Astyanax mexicanus: one gene and its partner. The protein of the gene in region 2 interacts with the protein of the main gene of each other region in a pairwise test. Links are inferred from orthologs where the notes say so. Each region holds a gene or a part of one and is shown on either strand. Other genes may lie near its edges.

Region 1 (3,924 bases), on a different chromosome or scaffold from region 2:
CAGAAGAAAGAAAGAAGAGGCATTAATCAAATAAAAAAATAATAATAATTTGTAGTAACCAAAAATGGGTAAATTAAAAATTGCTAATAAAATTAAGCAAATTTACCAACTTTTCTTTATATTATGTATTCATTTGGTCACTGTGTAATCCAAATATTTTAAAATGAATGAAAGGCATATGTACTTACCACCATCTCATCCAGGAGCTCGTAAATAAGGGCAAAGTTCATCCGCACAGATTTCTCACACAGACTGCCACAGTAGTCTTTAGTTAGAGCTGCAAGCCTGCAAAACATTCAAAAACATTAGCTTCATCCTCAAGAAATGCAAGGTGACTTTACACAACACCAAAAAAAACCCCGCATATTTTAATGAAAAAGTGGCAAGTGACAACGCTGTTTACCTGTTGAGAAACTCTATGATGGTGAACGGAGAGGCGTCAGTCTTTGTAGATGCTACCCAGTAAAGTCCACCTTGTCTGACATGAATGAAGTTTAGATCTTTATGACTCTGTAAAACCAAAATAAGAAGGTAATTCTTTAGCCACAATTAATTTGATCTTTATTACAGTAGTTACTATAGTTTGTGGCTTCTGGTTTGAGGATTTTCTCTGGCCAGTCGGCGCTCTGCAATCTATACATGTTACATAATGAATCACATGAAACAGATACTGAAAAAGTACCCAGTTTTAAGTACTAGGTACCAAATTTGCAATATTTTCATATAGAAAAATTTAACATCTTAGTAGAGTCGAGTCGCATACATAGTAGAGTCGATGACAGAACAGGCTCCTTGATGACAGAACAGGCTCCTGATGACAGAACAGGCTCCTTCCTACCTGCACTCGCTCCTGAAGGCTTACGCTACCTCCCGGCCGCTGCGCTCCTCCAGTGAACGTCGCCTCGCTTTGCCAAAAACTCACACAAAGCAATCCAGACTGTTCTCATACAGAGTTCCCCAATGGTGGAACAAACTACCTTCCACTACCAGATCAGGAGAATCTCTCGCTATCTTTAAGAAACTCCTGAAGACAGAACTCTTCAAAGAGCACTTACTCTCTTAACACCTCTAACACACTAACTACTTCTAACCTCATTTCCTTCTTCCTCTCCTTCACTCCTCTATCCTATTACTCCCCTTGTCCTCCTTTTATCCCTATCCAAAGATGTTTTACCTTGAAACTTATTTTACATTGTACTTGACTATTGTAAGTCGCTTTGGACAAAAGCGTCTGCCAAATGTAATGTAATGTAATGTAATGTAATGCATACCATAAGTACATGCAGTCAACATGCACCTATGTTAAACATGCCTAAAGTACAAACCCAAAAAAGTTAAATAATTCTGAACATATTACCATCACCACAGGAGGCTGGTCTCCACTCAGTGCCGTAACCATTTCATAAAAAATGCTGACAGCATCTTTGTCAGCTTCCCCACGATCTGTAATAGTGTTAAGCAAAATGCAAACAAGCACACAGGAACAGAGATAGAACCTAAACACTAAAACCCCATTTAGTGGCAGCTATACTGCCATAACCTGCTGTTAGGTATACTAGCTGGACATAAGTATTTAAACAGCTGCTCATTTATTGTTTCTTTCTAAATCAAGGGCATTCAAACAGAGTTTATCCTGGTTTTGTTGGAATAAGTCTCTCTAGGGTTTGCTTTCTTCTAGATTGTGGAACATTGCTGTGAAGATCTGACTGGATTCAGCAACAGATCAGGATGTTTTTGTTTTCTTTTATCTGAGTCCCATATACATTTAGCATTAATTCTTTACAAGAATATTGTGTATTTACATCTGAAATACTGTATTATTAGTATATTTTTTCAACTCATTCCTGCATACATTCTTTAGCAATGCTTACATAAATATATACATACCGTTAAGTGTCTGCAGTCCAACAGTATGTACATTATTCTGTTTTTTTTTTTGGTGGGCATTTAAATGACAAATGCCACTACATAGGCTTGTAAACTGTTAAATCACCTGCTAATGTCATACAATACAAATTTAGTTTATTGTGAAAAGTACCTAAGCAACAAACACCCTCTGGTGTCATTACAGCTACAAGATTCTGCATTATCTGATAGTAATACTGGTCCATTTTTTATTGAAATCACGGGATACAGTCCATGCAAAAGCAATGATAGCAGATAAAAAAGAACATTTTACAGTTACAGTATTACTGTATCTAGTCCTCTAGACAGATAGGTAAACTGACAGACATAGTTAGATTAATATACGGACAGACAGGCATAGAGACAGTCAATGTTTTAAACCTAGGCGTTTTATTTACAAGTATTACTATTAATATGAGCTGCATATTACAAAACCCAGGGGTTTAAGTTACATACTTCACGTTCAGTATAAACTGAACCTTTACAATCCTACCTTTACATGTTTAACTTAATCATACAGTACTTTAGAGAGTTCTGTGGATCAGTAATGAAGGATACAGTCTTTGTAAATGAGATGGTCTCCTTTAGAGGATAAAATAAACACTTGAGAAATCATTTTCCGAAATAGAAAACAGAATCAATGTATGGCTAAGATTACGCGCATAGATGTGCAGCAGGTCACCACTGAAGTTCCATATTACAGAACCGCGAGCAACATTTATCTATAACTTATTCAAACATAGATATTACTCATAACTGCAGCTGTTAAATTATATAAAATTAAATATCTAGCTGTGAACACTAACCTAGCACTGTAAACAACCGGCTGCTCTTTTCCGGACGGCCAGTTGAAAATTAATCATTAGCGCCGCCTGATGGCCAGGAGGAGAAACTCACACACGCGGGTCTGCACCAGAGACAGAACAGCTCAGATATGAGAGATGTGAGGTAGAGTTTATCAGCCAGAAACCTCTCAAATTCAGTAAAATTCAATTAATCGTCTCATGTCCATCTCTCTATGGTTGAGGATTACTTTAAATATAAATAAGATAAATTTCAAATTAATGATTAGGCCTACCTAAATATGCAAGTGTATCATAATCTAAAGTATTACTATATAAGTAACATTTTTGTTTGGAAATTTAAATTGGTTGATTACTGGCTGTTTAAAACCACACATTCAAATAGAGACTTTAGATTTAAATTCAAATGAAATCACCCTGTGTCTACAACACACCAAACAATCTCATCTCTGCTGAAAGAATACTTTATCTTTAAAATGGGAACGTCAATGGGTAAAAAAACATTTAATTGTCAAATGTAAAGTAAATTTTTTTTTCTACAGTTTAAAGTCATTCAGACTATGGAGGAACACATAAGGAATCACATAGTAAAGTGGTAAACAAACCAAATTTTCTTTTAGATTTGAGTATACTGGTTTGAGTAGAGCAGGCACCTACTAAGTGCAAAACAGACAAGATGGCATGTTGGTGCAGAATGTTGTGATAGCCATGCAGGTTCTGATGAGAGCCACCTGCATGGTCCTGATGAGAGCCAGTTTTATTATAAAGTTCAATTGTCTTTGCGACTGCACTTGAGAATAATTTCAAAATTCTTAAAAAAATCTGATTGACCCTTTCTTGTCTGACTTTCAGTTCTTGAAGTAATTGTAGAGTGTAGTTTTCTTTACTTAGTTGAGCAGTTCTTGCCATACTATGGATTAGAACATTCACTGTATACCAACTCTACTTCTGATGGTCTTAAACACACTAAGGGCAAGCAAGTAGTTAACTCTTGACAAAGCACAGCTGTTAACTGAAAGCCATTCGAGGTAATTAACTCAAAAAGCTCACTAAGAAAATGCCAAGATATCCAAAGCTGTCATCTAAGCTCCCTACGGTGCCTACTAAAAAAAACATACTCTTTTATTACATTTTTTTTTCTAAATAATTCCATATATACCTCATAGTTTGGACGACTTTAAGATTAATCTACAAGTTCAAACTACAACAAGAGAAT
Region 2 (3,924 bases):
AACTAAAATAATTAATTAATTTCAGGAATATAGTATAACAGTATAATAGCATAATCATAATGTGGCAAAATAAACAATATAGCATAAAATAATATAATGCAGCAGATAATATTGCAGAATATTTAGTGCATGCATATAAACTGCAAACTGAAAAAATTATACAATAAATACACCTAAAGCTTCACAGTGAATAACAGACTACTTTTAAGACAGAACAGCCCTATTATCACGATATGGATTTTTAATATCATGATATTTCTGTGTCACGATATATTGTATACGATATAATATTGCCCACCCCTACTAGAAATATCTAGAAAAACAGACCTGTAGATTTAAATAGCTAGTAAACATTTGTAAGCTGTGAAATCAGAGTTTCTGACAGTCAAACTGCATCACAAATACTGAGTTTGAGTTTTCATTAAGTAAAACCTAGTGTCAGACTAATTAACATAGAAAATATGATATTGAGTCTGATATAAACACTTAAGTTTTACCTCAAAACAGAAGCTAGCTTGGAAGCTAACAAGCTAATCTATGTTTGCTGCAGAGCAGCCAACCAGCTCCGTAGTGCGTTAGCTAGCTAGCGTTAGCGCATAAAAACATTTTAAAGCTACTTTAACAGAAAAATAGTCTTACAACTTAAACTGTAACGTTACAGAAATAGACCTGGATTCACCACCACTGTTCCTCACATATTTAGCTGGTTAGTTTGTTATTTGGATTATTCCGTTTTTCAAAAAGCTAGCCAGCTAGCTAGCTAGTTATGATCTTAGCGAGGAAGTCTGCTAGCTAGCGTTTGCTTAGCTAGAGGATAAAGGCTGTGTTCCAAATGACAATTGTACTGCTAGCCAGGTTGTTAAATGTTGTACTCTTCTTTTAGGTAGCAGACACAGCAAACCAGCTACTATTTAGCTACGCTAGCTAGCTTCCTAGAGGAAGAAGGCTGTGTTCCAAATGACAACTGTGCTGCTACTACACTAGCTTCATATGCAATGAACACACTTAGTTAGCTAAAACAAATAGTTGTGCACTACTTTTAGCTAAAATACAACTCTGGAAAAAATGAAGAGACCACCTCACTTTCTGAATCAGTTTCTCTGATTTTGTATATGTTTGAGTAAAATTGTTGGTATTTTATTTTATAAAGTGGGGATAACATTTTTCCCAAATTCTAAATAAATATTCATATTCATAAAGTTTGAAGAGTCAATATGTGTGATGAGTTTTAATCATAGTTTCCATGCATATTGGTATGTTCTACTCCACCAGTCTTCCACACTGCTTTTGGATAACTACACCAAGCAGTTCAGCTTCGTTTAATGGCTTGTGATGATCAATCTTCCTCTTGATTACATCCCAAAGGTTTTCAATTTGGTAAAATCAAAGAAACTCACTTTTTTTAACTGGTCTCTTTTTTTATTTTTTAAATGTAGCTAGCTACTAGTTCCACTAGCTAGAACACAACTGTAAACAATGTTGCTGGCTACAATGTGTGTGAATTACTTGCAGACATAGTTAGTTAAAGACATGTTTGCTAGCTAGTGCGGTAGTGTACAGTTTGACAGAGCCCAAGGCTCACATTTAGTTGCTAACTAACAATAGCTAAACTAGCGTTAACACTCCAAACCACTAAACAGCTGGCAGAACTTTAGCTGGCATAGATAACTAGCTAGATACTATTTATTTAGCTAGTTTGATAGTTAGCTAGTGTGGTAGTGTACAGTTTGTTACACAGCCCAAGGCTCACACTTAGTTGCTAGCCAACACTAGCTAAGCTAGCGTAACACTCCAAGCCACCAAATAGCTGTGTAGCACTTTAGCTAACGTAGCTAATTAGCTAGCTACTGTTTATTTAGTTAGTTTGCTAGCTAGAGTGGTAGTGTACAGTTTGTGACACAGCCCATGGCTCACATTTAGTCGCTAACATTAGCTAAGCTAAGCCTCAAAGCCACATAGCAACTGTAAAGCACTTTTGTAAACATAGCTATGCTAACTAGCTACTATTTATGTAACTAGTAGTGTACAGTCACATTTAGCTGCTAAGCTAAAGCTAGGCTAACACTTGAAGCCACATAACAGCTATGAACTACTTTAGCTAACATAGCTAGGATAACTAGCTAGCCATCCACTATTTATTTAGCTAGCTTGCTATCTAGATAGCTAGCTAGCTAGTGTGGTAGTGTACAGTTTGAGATACGGCCCAGTGCTCGCACTTAGCCGCTAACGTTAGCTACAGCTAGCTGTTAGCTGACAACCCATCACTTTCGTGTATTTTCCACCGTTTAGCCCACAGACATCCAGGCAGCCAGACGCCGCGGAGGTTCAGTAATACAGCGGGGTGCTGTGCGGGCAAAAGTCGGGCCTGTCAGTGCAGAGCCCGGCCCCCTGTCCCTCTCTCTCCCGGGGAGAGGTTCTCTCACCTCTTTAGGTACAAGCTGCTTCTCCTCGCTGGGCACCATTTCCATCTGGGCGACTGTTATCTACGCGCTCATCCACCCGGGCTCTGGGGTCAACAGCAGCTCTCCGCGGCGCTGTGGCTGAGCATTATCCGCGCTCCGGCTGAGCTCCGGGTCGCTGTGGAAGCTGAGCCGCGGCGCTGTAAACTTGTTATGGAAGTAATCGCAGATACTTTCTTTCTGAGCTGCGACCACAAACTGCAATCAATGGGGGTAAAAATGGCCGCCTCCCAGTTTCGCGAGATTTCAGCCCAGGCCCTGCGTCACTTCCCAAACACTCGCGCTGATCATTTAATCACAACAACAACAACAATAATATAACTACTAGTGCTGTATCTCAAAAACTAGAATATCACTGGAAAGTTACTTTATTTCAGTAATTCAGTGCATTAGAAAATTAGAATATTATATAAGACCAATTAGTACTTTTAGCATTGTGGGCAGTGTGCCAAGTCCTGCTGGAAAATGAAATCCACATCTTCATAAAAGATGTAAGATGCACTGACTTTGGACTTGATATAACACAGTGGATCAACACCAGCAGATGACATGTCTTTCCAAACCAGCACTGACCATCAGTACATTTTGCATTTCATTTGGAAAACAAGTGACCAGAGTCTGGAGGAAGAGTGGAGAGACACACAGTTCAAGCTGCTTGAGGTCTAGTGTGAAGTTTTCACAATCAGTGATGGTTTGGAGAGACATGTCATCTGCTGGTGTTGATCCACTGTGTTCTATCAAGTCCATCTTGATAAATCTTACAGCACTTTGCAAAATTACCAATTGGTCTTATATTCTAATTGAGGAAATAGAATTCAAGCAAATTCTTACATTTTGGGAGTAATTGAATAAACAGAAAACAGTTTATTAAATATAGGAAACAATTACTCAAATTGAATTTTTTTTTTTAAATAAGGAAACAAATTGTTAAACTGGGAACAACCTAATTCGTAGAAACTTAGTGAACCATTTATGAAATTAAATGAAAAATTAATGAAATTATTCATAAAGGGACAGTTTGTTAAACTGTGGAAACAACCTACTAAATTGAGAAAACAACTTTTTAGTTAAGGGACCAATTAGTGAAATTGGAAAAATTAGGGAACATTAGGGAACAACGATGAATTGAATTGGGGGAACAACATTAAATCAAGGAAAAATTAAACATTAAACAAATATACTAAACAAAGGGAACAATTTATTAAATGAGGTGAAAAAGCTATTAAATTAAAGGAACAGTTATTGAATTTTATTAAACACATTATTATCACTTTATTAAATTGAGGAAACAATATATTATATTTAGGGGGAAAGGTTAAATTGAGAAAATTATTTATTAAATTAAGGAGACAAATTATTAAACTGAAGGAAGAATGCATTAAACTGAAGGAACTCGGGGAATGGATTTCAAAATAAATATAAGTACATACTACTAATGCCCCTCATAAAAAAACAGCATTCACCT

The links.
Region 1: the proteins of usp47 (region 2) and ap4m1 interact in binary tests that used the Homo sapiens proteins (3 or more experiments, as listed by UniProt). The two-hybrid records come from large-scale screens. The link is inferred for Astyanax mexicanus from reciprocal best matches to the Homo sapiens genes USP47 and AP4M1.

Annotation. Positions count from the first base shown.
Region 1 is NC_064427.1:10,825,856-10,829,779, reverse strand, and holds the start of ap4m1 (AP-4 complex subunit mu-1), read right to left. Parts: upstream 2,768-3,924; 5' UTR 2,522-2,767; coding exon 2,464-2,521; intron 1,444-2,463; coding exon 1,358-1,443; intron 511-1,357; coding exon 404-510; intron 286-403; coding exon 189-285; intron 1-188. UniProt on the Homo sapiens protein: Component of the adaptor protein complex 4 (AP-4). Adaptor protein complexes are vesicle coat components involved both in vesicle formation and cargo selection. They control the vesicular transport of proteins in different trafficking pathways.
Region 2 is NC_064423.1:34,874,008-34,877,931, reverse strand, and holds the start of usp47 (ubiquitin carboxyl-terminal hydrolase 47), read right to left. Parts: upstream 2,686-3,924; 5' UTR 2,469-2,685; coding exon 2,424-2,468; intron 1-2,423. UniProt on the Homo sapiens protein: Ubiquitin-specific protease that specifically deubiquitinates monoubiquitinated DNA polymerase beta (POLB), stabilizing POLB thereby playing a role in base-excision repair (BER). Acts as a regulator of cell growth and genome integrity.